Linked DNA regions of Saccharomyces cerevisiae S288C. The gene in region 1 interacts genetically with each later gene. Each region holds a gene or a part of one and is shown on either strand. Other genes may lie near its edges.

Region 1 (2,836 bases):
ATGTATAGTGAATTGATTAGTTGGGAGGAGTCTGCATTCGTCTCCGGAGACTCGGGGTAAACCAGAAGTTTAGGAGGTAATTGTGGCACAGGCAAGCTGTTTTGGTATTTTATTGGTGCAATATATTCCTGTTTTTTGGACATTGTGACCCTTTATACTATTATGAGCACTGTTCTATTGTACTGAATACATTTCTGTCTATAATTAACAACGTATCAATAATGACAGTATTAATTCATCCAATGTTACAGTCGTCATTTTTTTCTTTTTCCATTTCAGAAAGACAAATTAAGTTATTCGTGTAATGTGATTATTATTTTAAAGCCCTTGTTTTTCTTCCCTACATAACAGCTCTAACCTACAAAATATTAATTATCCCTAAGCTTTTTCGAGATGTCCTTTTAAAATAGTAAGTTCAAGGTTAGGGTTCTCATTGCGTGTATGTATATGTATAACATATTGCATCGAATAGTAATTACATAGCAATAATAGCAACAACACTAAGGATCGGTGCTTTTCGTATGGTCAACTTCGATATCAGAAGAGTCGGAGTGTTCTCCTACGTCTAGTGCGGATTTATACTGGAATCTCGACAGCAAGCTTGCCACACTGCGCGTGGATTTATCATTTTGTTGATCTTTACTATCATCAAGAAGTTCTTCATTGTGTACGGGCTCTTCTTCTTCGGATACCTCGTCTTCTTCTTCTTCTTCCTCTACACCATCATCCTCATGCAATTCAGGCTCTTCTATAACAACCTCTTGATCGCTCCGACCCGGTTGCATGTTTAGTTCTCTCTTCTTGTCGAGTGCGCTATTCTTCTTCAGTTGTTTAATGGCATCCTCTAGAAACCTGAAATTATCTCTTTTTTCGACACATTCTTCTATAGAATTTAGGCTTAATCGTAGGCTTGTCTTTCCTTTCGAATTCAGTTGTGCTAAGACCAGCGATTCTTCGACGAGATTCTGTACAAATAACTCAGCAGCGAATGCGGTCGCTGATATAGCTACATTAGATGTAATTACGTATTCGGGGTCGCATTTGGCAATCTTCTTTACTTTAGATATAGGAAAGACAGGTGCTTTTTCTTTAACTAAGTTGGACATTTTTTTTGCAACACGGTTGACCCTTGCTTGTTTTTATCTGTTGGGGCAGGCAGTTGTTAAGGCCATTAATTTCGCGTAATAAAAATAAATTATTACTTCAAAAGCATCATGGAAACATAATTGCAAGAGTTTTTAAGGTTCAAAAAGAAAAGTACAAGAAGAAGTAAAAAAGTGAAAAGAAACACCAACCATAAAAGAGAGATTGTCATTGAGGTAGAAGGGGCGGGTATAGAAAACTAGAGCAACAACCATGGTTTTGGAAGTGCCCTCAATCACACCTGGTGAACTGCATGATCTTATGCGACTACATCAGGATGCAGAATGGCCTGAATGTAAAAAAATGTTCCCCTGGGCTCATGATATTTCCTTTGGTCAACCACCCGATTTTCCTCATTCTCTTGCAATAGTCAAATCGCAATCAGATGCTAACAATTCTGCGCTTTTGCGTAATTCTCTCGAAGTGAATGATATCTTCCAGTCCTGGAAAGTTCGCACTTCCTTTCATAGAGAGGGCGATACCTGTGAAACTGGAAATGATTCTAATGGTTTTCAATATCCCAATAACACAAAGGAACTTTTGAACTTGCTAAAGTTTCAGATACGACAATTGGAATTGCAAGTGGATGATGTTGCTTTGGAAAACGCTGCTACTTATTGTCACAATCATAGCATTTTACCATTTCTGAAAGTAGATCCTCGTGGACTATCATTAGAACTTAAAAGGTATTCTAGAAACAAGGTTGGGTCTAATACCACGCTAAAACGGAGTGGGCAGGACGTCTGGGGAAGGAGAGGTCTATTCCGAAGGTTCGACCTGCAATGTGCCAAGATGATAGAAATGGTTGATAATATAGTAATTTATTGTTCGCGGACTGGTGGCAGCACTGATATGCAAACAGAATCAGCGCCAGCGTGCTCACACGAGGGAAATTGCCCCAATTGTACAACCCTTGCACTACTTTTACAGATCTGTTTAATGTTTGTTCAAAAGGGTTATGTAGGGAGTGGAGGATCGCTTTACAAGACGAATCTTTTTATTTGCACTTATCAGAATTTCAATACAGATATACCTCAAACTTTGATTGGTACACCTTTATTAGACAACGAATTTTTCAAGAATAATACTCCCTTGAATTTATGTTCGTCACCTAGTGAAATAGTGTGTTTCAATAACGTTGATAAGAATATGGTTTTGTGCGAGAAGTTAGAGTTGAATAAGCTGACTTCAGCTACACGATTGGAGGAAACAGGGTTGATTTGCGGTAACACCACTGATTGGCATAATTATCAAATAATTAAAAAAAACAATATATCTCTGACCCACCGTTTCGAAGAGAATACAAGCATAGTAAATTTAAAGTCTCTAAATTATGATACGGACAATCCGACAACCTCCATTTCTCAACTGTATAACATACCGAATACAAAAGAGGTGTGGAAATTGATCATAAAATGTACGTCAAACTCGCAAATGCCGTCGTTAACGAAAATCCGAACATATCTAGATCTTTTATTAGACGATGATGCGTCAAAATCACAAGAGCATTTGCATTTGACTTTCCCTGCCTCAGGTAGTATAGGTTTGGGGAACTTAAACATTCAGTCTGTGGAAATTCTTTTGAATGTTTGTTATTTAATATTTCAAGTATCCCAAGTTCAAGAATTATTGACGTTCATGTATTGCGAAGACGGATATACAGAAACGTCATTATTATTAACAGCTTATATTA
Region 2 (3,579 bases), on another chromosome or scaffold:
TTCATTGGTAACATCATTGGGTGGTGGTTCCAAGTCATATCATTGGCTGTTTTTGTTGGCATTATCGTGGCCGATTTAATTACTAGACATCGTGGCTATTATGCCCTAAACAAGATGACCAGAGAAAAGCTGTATGGCCCATTGATGTTTTTCTTCGTCTCCTGGTGCTGTCATTATTTTCCATTCTTTTTAATGGCGCGTCAAAAGTTTTTGCATCATTACTTACCAGCTCATTTAATCGCGTGCTTATTCTCAGGAGCACTATGGGAAGTAATTTTCAGTGATTGCAAATCATTGGATTTGGAGAAAGACGAGGATATTTCAGGTGCATCATATGAACGGAACCCTAAGGTCTACGTTAAACCCTATACCGTCTTCTTGGTGTGTGTCTCCTGTGCTGTTGCGTGGTTTTTTGTATACTTTTCACCACTAGTGTATGGAGATGTCAGCTTGTCACCATCGGAAGTTGTTTCTAGAGAGTGGTTTGACATAGAATTAAATTTCTCCAAGTAACTTTTTCTGTTCACTAACCACAAACGAACTGAACGCCTTCCTCCGTTTAGTGACAAAATAGAGTACTTTTGATCTTAGATAGTATGTACCTAGATGTGTATATATGAAAAAAATTCTTTATATTTGTTTAGATATCAACCGGTAACCTCTTGAATGTTAATTCAAGGTGGGGAATGGTAACCTTCTGTGCATTCTAGTTACTAGTTCAAGATAATTGGGCTCATTTTCTGGAGTGATGTAGCCATGTCTAATCAAGAAATCTACCATTACCAATGCACAATTTGGTTTGAACTCTTTTTTTCTTAAAGCATTAATCGTCTCTTGCAGGCTGAATAAATTGAAACTCTCGACTTCACCATCGTTTGGTTTTGGAATGATGTCTTCGCTGAGTTTTAGATCGTATACATATTGTACTTCCCCTACGATAAAATCTGATTCCTTATTGAACTTCGTTACAGAAATATCACCCGTAAAGTAAAGGTAGGAAACTGAACCAGTTGCTTTAATGTTATCCTCAATAACACTCTTTTCTAGATTGGCTTCCTCCATGCTTTCTTTCAAAACTGTTTCATAGATACCATAAGGATAACCTAATCCCCCGGCGATAATGTTGTCAAGCATTAGCGGCCATGTTTGTTTCGTTTTAGATCTTCTTGGAACCCAAAACTGAACTTTTTTTGACTTTGGATCTAGCACATAACCATTAATATGAATCCCGTAGGTAATTATACCAAGAACACCTGCTACTGCACGCTCAACCAGTACATAGGGTTTTTTATTAACCCAAACGGCATATTTCTCGTTTCTCCAGCCCTTCACACCACTCAAGGATGATTCTAAATACATTTTACGAGCCAATTGGTCAATTAGATTGTTTCTATGATCAAAATCTTCACTTTTAAACCTTAACTCATGTCTAGATTCATCTAATTGGAAGGTTTCTTCGAAGATTTCCGAGCAAACAGTCTCCATTTCATTTATCGCAAATTTCAACACGAAACCGATCTTTGTGCCATCGTGTGTACACATATAGTAAATGCCCTCTTTGAAATTTTTGTAATTCTCGAAGTCTAATGGTAAAGGGTCTACGCGGTCCATAATCTCCAGGAAAGAGAACCCCTCTAGATCATCCTCCTGTGTCCTCACTAAAACTTCCAAGCCTTTAGATGATTTCTCGACCTTCATTGTATTAAAAGCGTTTGTTTCACTTTCGTTCCCAAGAAAGCCCCTATATTTAGTAATATAACAAACGCTATTGTTGTGCAATTCTTCGGCCAACGAAGTTAATTCTACAACTGTATGTTAAAAAAAAAAAGAAGCTATTTATTACTTGATGACAATATTTGTACAAATTTGAAAGAGAATGGTTCTTAAAATTAGATTAGTGATGTATAGCTAATGGTCCATTCACCAATTTTTTTCATGCTTGAGGGTAAAAGTGCATTAGTATGTTGAAGGGCGCTGTAAAAAGCATTAAACGATGTTTCTTGGAAATCTAATTCCTCGACGACTTGTCGATTGAGACATCGATTTATTGTGGTAACGCTGTTTGTGTAAAGCAACTTCATCGCTCTCTTGAAGCTTTTGTTTCCCGTCAATGTGACTCCAATGTCAACGGAAAATATCCAAACTAGCAATGATTCCGTTTTACATTTTACTAGTACGTAACGACAAGAGTTTGCCTTAACTACGTTTATTAAAGAAATTGTAATGTCACATTCTGGAGGAAATTTGTATGTGTTTCCACTGCGTATTAACTGCAGTTTCCATTTGTGTAGTTTATAAAGCGAACCAGCAGTTACTTGGCCTAACACTGCTGAGCACTTTATGCATAAAACATTATCATTTTCCTTTGTAGTCGCTACATTTTCAAAAGTCGCAGGAGTGCCTTGAAAATAAGAGCTTCCAATTAAAATTTCGTTTTTAGATGGTTTTAGCGTTTCAAATCTTGTGTAGGAAGACTTGTCTTCCTTAACATCGGGTTTGTGGCAATGCCAATAATCCATTAACTCGAACCAAAACTCTGAAGGCATATCATTCAAAACTTGACAGTTATCTTTGCTTATAATTTTTTGCTTACAGTTAAGACATTCTATCGAGAAATCAGAATCTGAGCGAAGCTCTTCTTTAGTCCATCTTCCATCTGGAAGCGACATGATAGAACTGTCATATATCTTAGAGGATTTGCTTCTTAACTTCGTCATCCATTCTAAGTCTTTACCTCTGTTTTTGAACTTGTAAGAAGCGTCTACTTTTTCTTCAACTTCTACTGGAAGTAAAATATCTTCAACTTGTTCTTCATCACCAGATATGCTCATGAGTGTGTCCTTCAAGTTCTTTATCTCCACCTGCTTCCAACCTTCTACTACCACTGAAATGCTCTGTATCCTTGGTAACCATTCTACCACATATTGAACCATCACCCTTGCATTTGTTTCTCTCTTTGTTTTCTTGACTTTCCTTTTCTTTACTTCGATTTAACAGCTTGTTACTATGTGCCATCGCGAAATTATTTATTGAATTGTTTACGTTGGGAAGAGCAGAAATACAAATAGACGGTAGCAAGGCAGGTCCGTAAAGGCACTTTAAGGAGTTAGAACCTCAACACAGATTCTAGATAAAGCTTATTATGTCTATGTTCAATGCCCTCAATTCAAACATCGAAGGTGAACAATATGAAGCAGAGGAGCATTCAAGAGAGCTTCAAATAGAACAGAGTTTTAATATTTTGCAGGACGCTCTGATTGATCTAAAAAACAAGGACTTCGAAAAGTCGGACAGCAAATTCCAAGAGCTCTTCCAGATTGATGTCGTCAAGCCTGATAGGTGGGGCATGTATCGCAATTCTTCTCCTACGCTAGATAACCTGCGATATCTATGTTATAGGAACAGAGGGATGTACTATCATCTGTATTTGGAGAATAACTATGAAAGGTTGAACTCACAAGAACTAGTTAATTGTATTTTAAAAGCAGTTGAGAACTTGGTTGAGTCTATTCAACATAGCGATGCTGATTTTGCAGTTACAGATTTGCTGGCTCGCATCTTCAAGAGCTTTAATAGTGT
Region 3 (5,198 bases), on another chromosome or scaffold:
TAATAATTGAATGTGGTGGTGATGGGCTTCTGGGTGATAGATTCAATGAATGGCAGCTAACAATACGAGGGCTTTCTCGAATCATCATAAATATCATGAAAAGTTATCCTCGAGCGCACATATTCCTACTTGGAGGGGGTGGGTACAACGATTTACTAATGAGTAGATTTTATACGTACTTGACTTGGTGTGTTACAAAGCAGTTTTCCAACTTAAGATGTGGTGACAATAATTCGTTCCAAATCGATCCATTTGATGTCTGTGATGGTGATGATTCTGAACAATTTATACGTGAACATGATCTTGTTGAAATGTATAATGAAGAGAACTATCAGTATTGGATATATGAGATGGAAGGAAGTTCTCGAATGAAAATGTTAAGGAATGACAATAAGGATAGAGATATGGTCGAACTTATGAAGTTTTACGAACTGTAAGATAGTTTTAATTAGTCGTTTGAATACAAATTAATAATGCGAACGCCGCAGCGTTTTATCCCGTAATGCTCTTGCTAGGTTTTCAAATATATAATAGAGACAATTAAGTAAAAAAATGCTTGGCAGCTGGGCATGCTATATACAGGGATGAATATAATACAGCTTAATTTTCAATATCAAAACTACTTCCACAACCACAACTACTTTTTAGGCTACCATTGATGATTTTGAACGAAGAACCGATCAACTCATTAGTGTATGTCAGTGTAGTGTTATTCAAAATGTTTAGTGATTTACTATCAATTATCACTCGACCCTTATCTTCGGGTAACACGTATATTATATCCTTGGAATCATCATCGTCAAGGTCGTCTGAAAACTCCTTGTCTTTGACATCATTCTTAATATCTGGCTTGGTAGCGGGTTCTAGAGTTAGATTGTACTGGAAACCGTGACATCCACCACTTTCCACACTAATTCTTAAATTTTCCTTACTATTGCGGTAGATCTCAGCTAGTCTGTTGGAAGCCCTCTCAGAAATAGATAAGTTTAACCCAGGCGTCTTATTTATTATTCTTTTCGGTGTGATCAACGGCTCCTTAGTGACCAGATCCGAGTAAAATGCTTTGCTATGAAATAAAAAACATGTTAGGGGAAACTGGCGTAAAGTTGTGGAGGGACGTCTAAAGTTTAGTCTGGTAAACAATAATTTAGCCTGCATACCTTCTTTACTGTGCAATCACATGTACAAGGCTCTCTAGGATCTCGACTTACTTGCAAGATGTTTAAACAAGTGACACCGGCGGATGGTATTATTCATTAGTAATACTAGTTGGAATTGGAATTTGAACAAACAGTACAGTCGGGTAACCGCTCGAACTTGAAACTGTACATAAAACACCCTTCTGAGCAGTTAATCAAAGTGAAATTATTGCCGTTTTCCAGGTCGATTAAATCATTATAAATCTTAACCATCTGCGTACAGCATGTCGCTGCAACCATCGCATTCGTAGTGCTTACACTAGGTATGATACTCTTTATTATACCCAGGATAAAACTTGTTGATAATTTTTCTGTTGAGATGCTAAATTGGGCAGCCCTTTCGCAGCACTTCTCCAGCAGAAATTCCATATCCGCCGTAGACTCAATATTTAAATCAGGGTATTGTATAGTTGAGACATACTCCACAACATGCTCAATGCAGCGAGGATTGTTGGCGATTGTACACATTGGCACAGTATCCTGCTGCGAGGGCAAGGTATCAATGGAGCACTCCCAGCATGCAGTGATGCCTGGAATGATTGTTTTTACATGTCCCTTGAGCCCCTCTGTTCCACCATCTATGAACGGGATGCAAATTTCATAATTGGACTCCAAGGTAAGCTTCACGAGAGTCTCATTGATGAAGCGACGAGGTTCAATGGCGTCCAGCCCCGAGATTATGAACTGGAAGTCTTTGTAAAAGCTCGGGGGCAAAGTGGTCAGGTCCTGTACGTGCGCCACAACTTCCAATTGAGGGAACCGCGTGTTTACATACTGGGCTGCCACTTGAGCTTTCGGTTTGCCTATGTCCTTATCACAAAAAAGAAATTGTCTATTAAGGTTGGTTAGCTCGATTGTGTCTATATCTACAATATGAACCTGTTTAACAAAGCTTAACATTGTCAAATTCTTCAGGATTTCGCATCCTAGACCACCTGCGCCTAACACCAATATCTTGCAGTCCATCCTCGTCGCTTTATTATCGATAATATAGGTATACAATATCTCATTGATTTGTTTTTTAAGTTTAAAAAAAAGGGCTTAAAAAACGACTATGCTGAAACATTATACAATAATACATATTTTTTTTTAAAGGAATGATATTATTTGTGAGGTGAATATATACGTGAAAATTGAGAATATAATTTTATATATTCAAATAGAATTTGTAGACTGTTTCTTTTTTCTTTTCTTTCTTTTTTGTCTCTGGGTACTTTGTTTTAATTTTGACTTTTATTTGCTGTTATTTTACATATTTTTCAATTGTTCTTTTGAGGCGATTTAAACTTTTATTAAACAGGAGCCAAATGCATAAATTTTTAGTTAAAGGGAATATAGTATAATATAATATAACGGAAAGAAGAAATGGAAAAAAAAAATCATTTCGGAGAAACTAGGCTAGTTTTAGCGGTGACCTCAGTGTTGCTTGAGTTTATAATTTGATGTAGAGGAATGTTTTGGTTTGGTATATGAGGAATGTGATGATGCGTAGGGGTAGTTGTGGACAATAGATTGTTCCTGGTGTGAGACAGTGGTTTGACAATATAAGTTGGTCCCATCTGCTTTAGCTGCTGGTACTGATCCAGTTGAAAATCTTGCAGAGAAGGTAATAGAGGGGGAGGTAAATATTGATTTGAATTGTTGATACTGTTTAATCTGTTGTTCTCCAGTACAGAGGAGTTCGGAGAAGAGGAGAATTTCCCAGGAGAAGATGTCGCAGTTGTTGTGGATGTGGTAGTTGTAGTTACCGGTGTTTGACTGCTGTTGTTGATAATGGATGAAATAAAGGGCAATTGAGGGGTCGAGTTAGCCCTTGGTTGAGCTTGAGCGACGTTGAGGTAATGATGTCTCGTTGAAGGGTCGTGTGGAGCTGAGTAATATGGAATAGAATTTAGTTGAGATGACAGCTGTGGTAGGTCTCTTGCCGTCTTATCATGCGTCAAAGGTAGTCCACTTAAAGATCTGGAGACCATATAGTTAGAAGTATTAACAGAAGGAATAGGCAACCTCTTAAGATCATTGTTCAATTGGAACTGATAGCTGTTCGAGCTTGACACCGAGGAAGATGGTGAAAGAGAATGTGCTCTTTTCATAAGAACTATATTGTTGTTAAAGGGCTGTTGTAATTGCGGTTGTGACTGTTTCTGCTGCTGCTGTTCTTTCTGTTGTTGCTGCTGCTGTTGCTCGATTTCCTTCAAAAGTAGTTGCTTCTTCTTAGACTTTCTTACCGGCTTGTATTTGTATTCAGGATACTTCCTTTCATGTTCTAGTTTCTCCTTCTCCGCTAGATTTTCCCAGTGTGCCTTATCTTCCGGTTGTAAGCCCTTCCACTTCGTACCAATAATTTTAGAAATGTTTGAATTATGGGGTATTTCCACACCTTGAGCGGTCCATTCGTCTATTAAGATCCTGTGGTAGTGCTGTCTGAACAGAATAAATGCGTTCTTGGGTCTTGGAATCTTAGGTGTAGAGGATTTAGGATTCATTGTTGATTGTCTAACTGCGTTCTTTTGTGTGAAGAAGTATTAGTATTTTCTGGAATAATGAGGGGTGAAGAGGGAGAGTTAAGACACCGTAAATGTATAATTATATGCGAAAATTATAAAAGAAAGCAATGAGAAGAAACATTAAAACTGGAAAATAGTGCTATATTTAAGTAAAACTTCTGAAACTACAATTAGCAAATAAGATAGAGCAGAAAAGGAAAATGCAAGAGCGAAAAAAAAAAAACTTTGTTTAAGACCGTTACATTACGCAAAGTGAAAACGAAGAAAATATAATAGCAAAGAGCACTATAATAGTAAGAACCTACACACAAAAGACACAAAGAACACCGGCAAGACAATACGAGGAAGAACAACAAAAGAGGCAGCAACAATAGGCCCTTTTCTTCTTTGTCAGCAATCGCCAAGTTCTAGAACAAGGTTTTCCTACCAGATTTCCAATTGTTTTGCATAGTAATTCCCGGTAGTTCCACGCGGCCGATACCTCGACAGGCCAATGATATCCAGGGGATTTGTCGGCCGAGCCGAAGATCACCTGCCTCTCCGACGTCGGCTTTGCAGCTGCGGCAGCTCCTAGCGTAAGTAGCAGGAAAAAAAAGAAAGAAAATACTTTAAAGTACGCCTGCACCTGGGTTGCTCTAAACGGGAACAAGAGCCGGTTCCGATAACCGCACACTATTATTTCTAATCCCTCTACGTAATTGCTAAGCACACATGACTTCATACTTGCGTCACCCCGATTTTATTATTCCCTCCGGTTAAGCAAACGCCGCACCCCTGAGTCCGCCAGACCGGCCGCAAGAGAACGCAGTGTGTGTTCCTGTCTCTTTGCACGAACAAAGGAGATAGGACGGCACCCAGGCTCGCTAGGCGGCTACATGACTAAATGCCCAAGTTTCGTGCATTATGTAGAAGAAAATAGACGTCTGTGTAATCATTTCTTGAAGCAAAGCAATATTTGCAGGTTGAATGTAGGTCAACTGCATACTGGGAAGCGTTTTCTGACCGCTTCGGAAGCGTGAGCGGTCCGTCTCTTACAACTCGTTTGGAGCTACATGGTGAGACAACATTGGCGCGCACGCCAATGTTGTCCTTCTCAATGGCCATGCAAACACTGCTATTTTATCGATAACTGTTGTGATCTTGGCTTAGTTCTTGTGCTTTTTACACCCCGCAGTAGCGCTAGTTGTATGATTGCGGTTATCTGTCGCTTCTGTTCTCGTAACGCGCAACATGGAAGAAAAAATACTGAAAAATAATTTTAACAAAAGCTTGAGCAGAATGGGCATGGTACAACATCCATAGGCAAAAAAAAGGAATACATATACTCCGCTGCTACCTCCTCAACTAAACAATGACTTTGAATAACGTTGCAAGGCCCGACCTTTGTGTTTCGTATGTTTTTCACCGACAATTTTCTTTCAAATTTGCTGATATTGCCAATATATACTAACAGTTCAACCGCTCCCTTTCTACCACAGGTACAAGAAAATTG
Region 4 (9,915 bases), on another chromosome or scaffold:
TGGGAACTTGAAAAAACTGTGAACTTCATCAAGACGTTTGGTGTCTAAATCGATCATGATAGTTAAGGGTGACAAAGATAACATTCACAAGAGTAATAATAATGGTAATGATGATAATAATAATAATGATAGTAATAACAATAATAATAATGGTGGTAATGGCAATGAAATCGCTATTATTACCTATTTTCCTTAATGGAAGAGTTAAAGTAAACTAAAAAAACTACAAAAATATATGAAGAAAAAAAAAAAAAGAGGTAATAGACTCTACTACTACAATTGATCTTCAAATTATGACCTTCCTAGTGTTTATATTCTATTTCCAATACATAATATAATCTATATAATCATTGTGTAGACTTCCGTTTTAATATCGTTTTAATTATCCCCTTTATCTCTAGTTTTATCATAAAATATAGAAACACTAAATAATATTCTTCAACGTCCTGGTGCATACGCAATACATATTTATGGTGCAAAAAAAAAAATGCAAAATTTTGCTAGTCATAAACCCTTTCATAAAACAATACGTAGACATCGCTACTTGAAATTTTCAAGTTTTTATCAGATCCATGTTTCCTATCTGCCTTGACAACCTCATCGTCGAAATAGTACCATTTAGAACGCCCAATATTCACATTGTGTTCAAGGTCTTTATTCACCAGTGACGTGTAATGGCCACTGATTAATGTGCCTGTATGGTTAACCACTCCAAATAGCTTATATTTCATAGTGTCATTGTTTTTCAATATAATGTTTAGTATCAATGGATATGTTACGACGGTGTTATTTTTCTTGGTCAAATCGTAATAAAATCTCGATAAATGGATGACTAAGATTTTTGGTAAAGTTACAAAATTTATCGTTTTCACTGTTGTCAATTTTTTGTTCTTGTAATCACTCGAGTTGTTACTATCATTACCACCAGTACTGAACGGTGTACTGGAACTGGACCTCTTCCCACTACCACCCAACATCCTGAAGGGTGATCTGGACCTTTCTCGTTCAAAGATTGTCGTATTATTATTATTGCTATTATGGCCCTCAGTAATACCGTCTCCAAAAAAGTCGAGATGACGACGCTTGGTTCCTGTATGTAATGTAAAAAACCGACTTTTTTTCTTTTTACTCTTAACAATGGATGGCTCATTCTCTAATGCAGACACAGATGTAGACACAGACGCCGTGGGGCCACAGCGTGGGCAATCCCATGCATTTTCACCAGAGAGTACCTCATCGCTTGTAAACATATTAATACAATCCTCTAACTTAACTCTTTTCTCAGTAGACCTACCAAGTTTACTCAACTTCATGGAACGTCTTGGTATAGCCAGTGATAAAACATAAAATGTGCTATAGTTGAAAGTAGTGTAACCGCACCTTTTACATTGTAAGCTGTTCTCCATTTGCCCTTGAAAAATGTCATCAATAGGAGATATACCATTACCAATGACATTTTTGTCAAACCAGTGCTTATATTCGTTGTTTGAAACCTTTAGGGCATCTGCATTATACAATAATAAATTCGGATAATCGTTCGCTACATGCTGTTGGTCGGAAAGTTCATCGTGTAACCTGTCTAAAAGTATCATTAGGAACTCTTGGGTATCCTGTTGGTCATCAGGAATTTTCAAATCGGGACGCAATTGATTGATAACTTTGAGAAATCCTGTTGGGACAACTGAGCAACCACCATTTAGATACATCTTGTTGAAGAGCATACTTAGTGAATTCGAAAGTTTAGGAGAATAATGAGATCCGTTGCTCCTTATTGGTTGCAGATAGCTCTTATATTTGGATGAAATGAAGAGTGTCCGGAATGTTTTCGCAGCGAATAGACATTGTATCATACTATTAATGTAACATGTATTGCCCAAATTTCTTAGTCCCGTGATGGACAACGAAACGTATACGTTTGGACTGCGTTCAATAGTTGGAATATTGTACGCCCTTTGCGGTTGTAATATTTGTTGGTCGTAATGCTGATGCTGGTGCTGTCTTTTTCTTTGAATAATTTCATTGGAGTTAAGTTGTTCCTTTTTGACATGCTGCTTTGCTGGTATTGGCGGCTTTCGAGAGATAGAACTGACTTGTGAATGAACCATTATCTTAGGGGGCAGAGGAGGTGGAATTTCTGGGGTTGTGGGCATTGATACAGGCGGTGGAGGTGGAGGACGTTTCCTTAACCTTATAGGCAGGTCAGGGGGCTTCCAGGAGGGAGGCTCAGGAACTTTTGTAGATGATTCCTTAGCGGAAAAAGAGTCCTGAGAATCCGGCTGCTGCTGCTGCTGCTGCTGCTCCTGTTGTAAGCGCGCCTTCTGTGAGTAAGGTCTGTACAAGTAATCTTCAATAGAGATATGATACTCCTGGGCATACGAATGCAGAGTTTTCTTCCATTTTTCGTACCCACCTAAGAGGGTAGTAGGTACAGTTGTTAAAGGAGTCTTCTGAGAAGTCAGCATCAAATAAAAAAAAATAAATGCATAATCAAAATTTATAGTCATGAAGGTCTTCACATCAGTATAGTAAACAATGTAATCAAATTTATTACGGTTTATAAAATTCTCATTCTCCTTCAGTAAATGTTCCAATATGTCATCCTTGTAGATAGGTGTGTTCGTCTGCTTGTCCCACAACAAGTTTGGATCCACATTCACTAAGTTCGGAGCCACAATGTGATTTATTGCAGATCTTTGTGGTATTCTCAAGTCGATGAGTAAAACCTTTTCACGTTCAACGCGATTCGATAAAATACTAAACAATTCTGGTGCTGTGATTATACTCTGCTTTTGTAAAATATCCAAACTCTGGATGAAGCCATCATTCTCAACGTTGAACAGATCATCATTGTCTTCCTTGAGGTTGCCGCTATCCACCATATAAACAGAATGGTAAGAATCCTTTCGATGAGTTACTGATCTATCTGCGGTTATTTCTCGAAATGGTGGGTTCAAAGATGCGAAACTAGTGTCATCCTCGTGGTATATGGAGGGTACATCTTCCAATAAAACAGATGGTCTCACTGGAACACTTGTCTTTCTTTCAGGCTCACGAAAAGCTGGCGTTGGTATCACTTCGGGCAATAAAGCCAGTTTCAATTGGTCGTTGGGCTCTAAGTTTGGTGCTGTCCAAACAGGTGAAGATTGTTCTGCGTCGTCTTCAGTAAACGTGCCTTTGAGGCCATGATCTTGCGGTGCCGCGGTGTCAAGTGATAGTGAAGCTACCTGACCTGAAAGATCGTCAGCTGGAACTGAAAATGCCCTCTTCTTGGTGATTCTGTGCTCAATACCGGCCCCGTGTTTAACCGATTCATCTAGGACCACACCGATTTCTTTCTTCACCATAAGCACAACATTGGTCATGTTCATTTCATTCTCATACATCTTTTTTAGATCTGTATAGATGCTGTAGGACTTGTTTCGTGTTTGGAACTGCAAAGATTGTGGAATAATTAAGAACACGTAGTAGCATCCAATGATAAACGCTGTCAGTGCATCGTTGGGCCTATCGTGATGGATTGAATCTAGATATAACTCGAATAGGTACTCTGTATGCTCCAGAAGGTCCAGCAGCTTCTCCAGTTTTAGCTGCGGATAGTAGTGCTTGATATCTTCGTGGTACAGGTCCTGGACCCTTCGCAGTAATTCATTTGAGTACTCAGGCGTGAACGGCGTTATATGTGGATGCATGGCCGTGCCCTTATCATCGTCTAGCATTTAAAGTTCTATGCGTAATCGATAGCGATAGCTCTTTAAGTTGCGGTTATTAATTTTGGCCCCCGGCTGGGTGCCGTTATACAAAATATTATCAACATATATAGAATATAAACGTACCTATTTCCTAGCGAAATACGTCGAGGAGCCACAAGTGGCAACAGAATAGTCGTATACAGACTCTCCCAAGTTCAAGTACCGCTTCATGTAGTTTCTCATAGTCTGATTGTCCAGAGTCTCCAGTTTAGGCGTCAAACCTGTATTGCGTTTAATCCCCGCGAGGCACGTTGATACCAAGACCAAATCTATGGATATGTGTACTAGTTTCCCTACCTAACCAATTTCTCTTGTTAGTATTACCGGATGCGTTGTTAGTAGCTCATTTGGGTACTTACTAATGTCATCTCTTTGCGTTTTGCTTGTTCTTGTTTTGATCATTGTGGAGAGAAAGAAAGCGCCTTCTTGTCATTTTAATCCCAGTTTTAAAACAGTTCGATCTTTCTCTCCGTACCAGTCCACGACATAAAAGTAAAAGATAAAACAGACTATACATGATGTTAAGACTAGTAACTAAAGGGTTGCCGAAAGTGACACCTTCTGCAGCTAAGGCTGTGCTAGTGCGTGGTTCCTTGCTGCACTCATTCTCTACCAGCGCTAGATTCAATAATAGTGTCGCTGAAGATGAGGCCAAGATCGTTTTGAAAGACAAGAACAGGCCATTGAGAATTGACAGAGAATTGCCTGACCCAACCACGGAGAGGAGAAAGCGAATAGCTGGATTTTTGTTGTTTTCTGTGGCCATTGGGTCCGCACTATCTTTGATCTTCAACTATGAAAAGACGGAGTCCCCCATTATCTCCAACACGCTGTATTATATAAGACGGTCTCCAGCAACTAAAAACATACTGGGTGAGAGCATAGAATTTGATGGTATCATCCCTTGGGTCTACGGTGAACTGAACTCTGTGAAGGGTAGGATTAACATTACGTTTTATATCAAGGGGGACAAAAACGTTACTGGAACCGTTAGACTGGTTGCCGATAGGAACACTCACGACGAAGAGTTTTTGATTCATGAATGGAGCGTCACTGCCGCTGGCCAAAAGATCGATTTGCTAGCTGAAAATACCAAGACACCAATTTAATAGCAAGTATGGTGCTATTTGTCTGTAAATATCCTTTATTATTATTTTATTTTTATCGTTATTACAAGTGGTCTGGGTATCTATACAAATGCAAAACTATGTAGGTACGTTTATATATCTATATGCATATATATTAGTGTGGCCGTAAGCTGTCAATAAATTCTCTCTTGTTGACAGTATAATTCGTAAAATCGTTTTCATATGGGTCATCCAGTTTTATTTCTTCGTGTAACGCAGTATTTTCTGTGCTCGATGACAAGTTTGACGTAGAAGCTGATCTCAAACTACTCGTTTCTTTGCGCGATAGCGTCAGTGGATACATAAAACTATAGGAAGGATCTCTGACCATCCCATAATTCACCTTTTCGCCGCTGAAAATGACGGGGACATTGGTATATGCAGTGCTCTGCTTTTTTGGACGCAAAGTCCCCATACTAGCGTTCAATTGCCTTCTGTATGCTGGTGTGTACCCTGCCTTGGCGGTTTTTTCTTGGCAGGGTTTAAGATCCTGGTTTGCTTCCTTTTCGTTTATCGTGGAAGCTTCACTTGAGCTGTTAATTTCGGCTTTAAAACCATCATATACCGACACTGCCACTTCTTCCATTACCATCTTCTCCAAATCAGCATCTCTAATCTCTTCTTTTTTGTAACGTCGTTGTAATTTACACCAAAATATCAGGGCTATTATTACGCCCACAGCAATTGGAATCCCAACTGCCGTTCCCACTGCCACAGACACATTGCCCATCTTTATTCAATAGTCTGTTTTGATGATTGAAAAGTAGATTGTTTTGAGCTAAAAATTCGATGCTTTCTGTGCTTATTTTGAAATTTATTAATGAATCTGTCCATCTCCAAATCTTAGTTCTTAACTAGGAAATTTGTCAACACGACCACCGCCCGAAAAGGGAAAATATTTCCCTTTTGAGAAGCGATTGCGAATATTGTCCATTTCTTTATATAAGCTCCACAACTACATAAAATACTAAGTCTTCACTATATATTTTGAATATCGTTCAGCATAGCATGCGTTCTCTCTAGTAAAACGTGATCTTCATCCTTTCTCGTTTTTACATCTCCTTCATGTACGTTAATGGCTATTTCATTGAGTTTTGTACTCTTTCTTCTTCTTAGAGGTTCTGGATCCTTCTTTACTTCGCGTAATTTAGATATGAGTAGATCAACAGCATCCCTGTTTACTTTTTCACCATCGTTTTCATCACTTCCATTGCTTTTCTTATTACTGCTTGTCCTCATATCTAACAAGCTCTTCCTTTGTTCGTACACTCTTTCCATTTCCTCCTTTTCAATGTTTTCCTTGGCACATTTCTTAAACATGGCTAAAAATTCAATAAAGGGTTGGAAAAATTCGTTTTTACTCTCTTTATCTTTGGGATCTTCACCGTAATATTTCATCAGTTTATTCAAATCTATTAAAGTTAATTTACATTGACCAATCAATAATTCACTTTTTGTTTTGGCCCGATTAATCTTAAACTTGACCTTTTTAATAATTTGATCTCTGGGGTCTAAGTTCTCCTCTTTGGATAGCTTTCCTACTTGAAACTGAGTAACTAAATCCTCAATTTTTTTATGAAATTCATGACACTCTGATTCAACGTGTTCTAGTGAGATTTTACCTAAATCTTCAATGTTCTTCAAATCATCCACAAAACCGTATATATCAGGATATTTTATTCTTATGACTTTTTCAATAAAATGCAAAAATGATACATTTTGATCAATACTGGATCTGACAAAGGCAAGTTTAGTCAATGACTTCAATTTGATACCCTTAACAATTCTTTTATTCATATGATTGCCTATTTCCGTGATAATAAACATCAAACTTTTAAATTTAGGTGAACGATTTAAGTGTGAAATTGCATCATCAATTTTTTGTAACTTGAAAATCAAATCGTAATAATCTCTCTCGTATGTTGACAATGTCAGCAGACTCTTTGATCTTGCATTCCAATAAAATCTTAAATTGATACACAACTCCAAAAATATTCTGTCAGCTCTTTGTAAGTCACTTACTGCTTTACCATCCTTACCCTGTGAATATGGCTCGTACTTATTAAGCATACTTTTTGGTATATTTACTAACTCTTCTTTACAAAAAAATTTCAGTATGTTAACATTTTGGACAATGTCGTTATCACAGTTCAATACTTTCATAACAAATTCCATATCAGATAATTGGGAAAACATGTGTAAATTAATACCAAATTGCTGAGCCAAATCTCTTGATAAGAATGAAATTTTCTTCAGCTCATTGGAAGACTTGCCATTGTTTGAAGACAAGGCAATTGAGGATTCTGCGTTCCTTTTATTTGCAATCTTAGTCGGACTTTTCATCTTAAAAATATCTTCAATCTGAGAGAATATACCATCAGTTTGTAATTCTTTGATTGTTTCTTGGCGTTGAAACGTGTCTTCCCAAAGTGTGTCTTTGATATCCTCCACCTTATCCCAGTGGATTTGCTTCAATCGCTTTTCAGTTGGAGGTGGTTTTAAATCGGTTGTCGTTGGATTGATAGACACTGAGGAGGAAGAAAGAAGACCATTTGGTAAAGGTGGAGCTGGAGGAGTAACTAAATCGTGATTGGAGGGGCCTTTGTTCATCGACAAGGACTCGGGTAAAGGCGGTGGCGGTGGTGGTGGTGGAACGGCGCCACAAGTTTTAGTTTTAAATAGATCTGGAAGGGGTGGCGGTGCAGGTGCTGCAATACAGGAAACACCATCCGGTTTAGCTTCTGCTTCAGTCAAAAGAGACTGTGGAAGTGGAGGAGGGGGAGGTGGAGGAGGGGGCGGTGGAAGTTGAGGTAGTTTAACAACTTCAGGTACTAGTTGGATTCCATTATCAAGACTATCTGAGGAAAGTCGAGGGAAAAGTTTTGGTGAAGAAGAAACCGAAGACAACACGGGAGACGATTGGTAATTAGGTTGTGTTCCTAGGCTATTTGAAAATTCCAACTCTGAAAGTATCGAATTTAGAGAGACATTTTGCATATTAGTAATATTTTTCATAGAAGGGATATTAAAATTAATGGTTGACGTAGATCTTTGAAATAATGAGTCTTTTGATTTATCTTCGGATTCATTTTGGGACTCATTTTCGTTATTTGCATCAGTTAAATATGATGAAAGGGACGTAACTCTTTTACTTTTTAGTAGACTAGTTGAACGCTTGGGCAGAGAAATTTTTTGCTGCTGCTGTTGCTTTTTTGCTAAATTTTGGAAAATGATATTTCCATGACTATTATTTTTTATTATCGAGCCGGCAATACTCAAGTTGCTACTTGCCAATGAAGGTGGCTGGTCATATAACCTTTGATGCGTGGTAATTTGGTCTAGTCTTTTCTTGGTTGCCTTCAACTGCAGTTTCAGATTTTCAATTTCCTTGGTTTTCAGAGATATCAAAGATTCACTTTCATCTAGTTTTGCTATTAAATGATCTTTATCATGATTTTCTACTAAATTTAATTTTTCATTCAAATGAGAAATCTTAGCATTAAGATCATCAATTTCTGTGACCGCTCTTCTAGCAATTTCATCAGATTGTAGAGAATCCAACAATTTATTAACAGAATCTTGAAAAACATAATCCACATTTTCTGCGGACTCCAAGGTTTCATCAAAAGAAGGATTCGTTGACACTTGAAAGGAATCTATGAGATAAAACAGCAAAGAATTTATCAATTTTAATAGTTTAATAGATTCTGAGTATGGTTTTTGAGAGTCTAAGATTTTCCACAGCGATTGAATAATCTCGTTTATTGGTGCCTCTACGGGACTATCTTTTGCCTTCAATAACAGGCAATTTTCAAGACATAGAGGCTCGCTTTCTATTCTTGCGATATCTTTTGTTGGGTGAAGCGAATTCGTATCGTTGGTAGTTTTTATCATCGAGTCAAATATCGCAGATTCTTTGGATTTGAATTGTTTTATTTGTTCCATGATCACGACACTATTAGGATCATCTTTATAGGCCAGTTCTAAAAATGTGATAGTGTTATGTATATTATTCTTTTTCAAAAAATTCAAAATTTCTAGTGCAGTCTTGTTGTTGAAACCTTGCAGTATGGAGTTTATTAGCAGTAGGAAAGTTGTCGAATAGTCTATTTTTAATTGGTTCCAGTTCAAATAAAGGGATGAATGAATTGCAATATCATCCGCAAGGATTTTGTCAAACCATTCTAGCCAATCGGTGAATAATATGGAAAGCTGGTCCCATATCAACTCACAACCCGTGGAACCCTCAACATACGTTAATAATAAAAGTAACTCCATAGAAAGTAACTGACATTTCAAATTAGAATTTTGATCCGTCAGAAGCTCGGTGAACCAGCGAATTAAAGGCTCAGAATGTAGTGCTCTTATTCTCGCCAGTGGGTTGTTCATCAGTATTTTAAAGCACCGAAGATAAACAAATTGTAATTCCTTGGATATGAGTGGCAAAGTCTTTTCGATCAATGTCGTCAAGTAAATTTCATCCTTGAGAAAAAGTTGCAAAAAGCTTTGCTTTCGCAGGAATTTTTCTAGTTTATATAGAGCCTTCGATAACTTCATGCCACCTGTTGAAAGGTTTCTAACTAGGCCATCCAAAAAGTGTGCGTTTTCAGCTAGTTCATTAGTGGCCAAATGTGTAGAGTATGTCGTGCTCGAAGTCACTTTCTTTTTCCCCCAATGATTGGAACTACGGATTTTACATATCAATAACCATTTCCTTCGTAGAGAGATGTTTTGTAAATTCTTATAAGCAGCCCCCCAAAAAAAAGTTCCATCTTTTAAAAGCTCATCAAACATTCTTTCGACGAGTGATGCGTCCTGAGGCATGCACTTCGGATTAAAATCCATTTCCGATCCGTTCACTTCTTCGGAAACCATTGGTGACGAAGAAACGTCATTAGCTGAGAAATTCTTCTGTTTCATGTATATATGTGATCCTGTACCTTGTTTCTCTAACGCTACACCGACCAACTGCAAGCCAGCGGCAACCAGCCCATCGTTCAAATTCAATTCTTCCAATTTACGGGCTTCGCTGACCCTAT

What was found.
Region 2: mutations in DPB3 (region 1) and YJR142W together harm fitness more than expected from each alone (negative genetic interaction), as found in Saccharomyces cerevisiae (2 studies listed by BioGRID).
Region 3: mutations in DPB3 (region 1) and ROX1 together harm fitness more than expected from each alone (negative genetic interaction), as found in Saccharomyces cerevisiae (2 studies listed by BioGRID).
Region 4: mutations in DPB3 (region 1) and UBP7 together harm fitness more than expected from each alone (negative genetic interaction), as found in Saccharomyces cerevisiae (2 studies listed by BioGRID).

What each region holds. Positions count from the first base shown.
Region 1 is NC_001134.8:758,564-761,399, reverse strand, and holds DPB3 (DNA polymerase epsilon noncatalytic subunit), read right to left. Parts: upstream 1,107-2,836; coding exon 501-1,106; downstream 1-500. Other genes in the region: PAF1 (Paf1p), read right to left, coding at 1-143; tyrosine/serine/threonine protein phosphatase PPS1, read left to right, coding at 1,357-2,836. UniProt on the Saccharomyces cerevisiae protein: As accessory component of the DNA polymerase epsilon (DNA polymerase II) participates in chromosomal DNA replication.
Region 2 is NC_001142.9:695,260-698,838, reverse strand, and holds YJR142W (uncharacterized protein), read right to left. Parts: upstream 1,699-3,579; coding exon 670-1,698; downstream 1-669. Other genes in the region: PMT4 (dolichyl-phosphate-mannose-protein mannosyltransferase), read left to right, coding at 1-513; IPA1 (putative polyadenylation protein), read right to left, coding at 1,890-2,933; HIR3 (Hir3p), read left to right, coding at 3,143-3,579.
Region 3 is NC_001148.4:678,180-683,377, reverse strand, and holds ROX1 (Rox1p), read right to left. Parts: upstream 3,686-5,198; coding exon 2,579-3,685; downstream 1-2,578. Other genes in the region: HOS1 (histone deacetylase), read left to right, coding at 1-437; ISA2 (Isa2p), read right to left, coding at 601-1,158; NEDD8-activating protein UBA3, read right to left, coding at 1,266-2,165; YPR064W (uncharacterized protein), read right to left, coding at 4,008-4,427; YPR063C (uncharacterized protein), read left to right, coding at 5,058-5,098, 5,185-5,198. UniProt on the Saccharomyces cerevisiae protein: Transcription factor that represses the expression of HEM13, COX5B, ANB1, CYC7 or AAC3 (hypoxic function). Binds to the DNA sequence 5'-RRRTAACAAGAG-3'.
Region 4 is NC_001141.2:41,892-51,806, reverse strand, and holds UBP7 (ubiquitin-specific protease UBP7), read right to left. Parts: upstream 3,717-9,915; coding exon 501-3,716; downstream 1-500. Other genes in the region: GUT2 (glycerol-3-phosphate dehydrogenase), read left to right, coding at 1-48; ATG44 (mitofissin), read right to left, coding at 3,834-4,046, 4,109-4,117; COA1 (Coa1p), read left to right, coding at 4,265-4,858; AIM20 (Aim20p), read right to left, coding at 4,992-5,606; formin BNR1, read right to left, coding at 5,855-9,915. UniProt on the Saccharomyces cerevisiae protein: Involved in the sorting of ubiquitinated cargo proteins at the multivesicular body (MVB).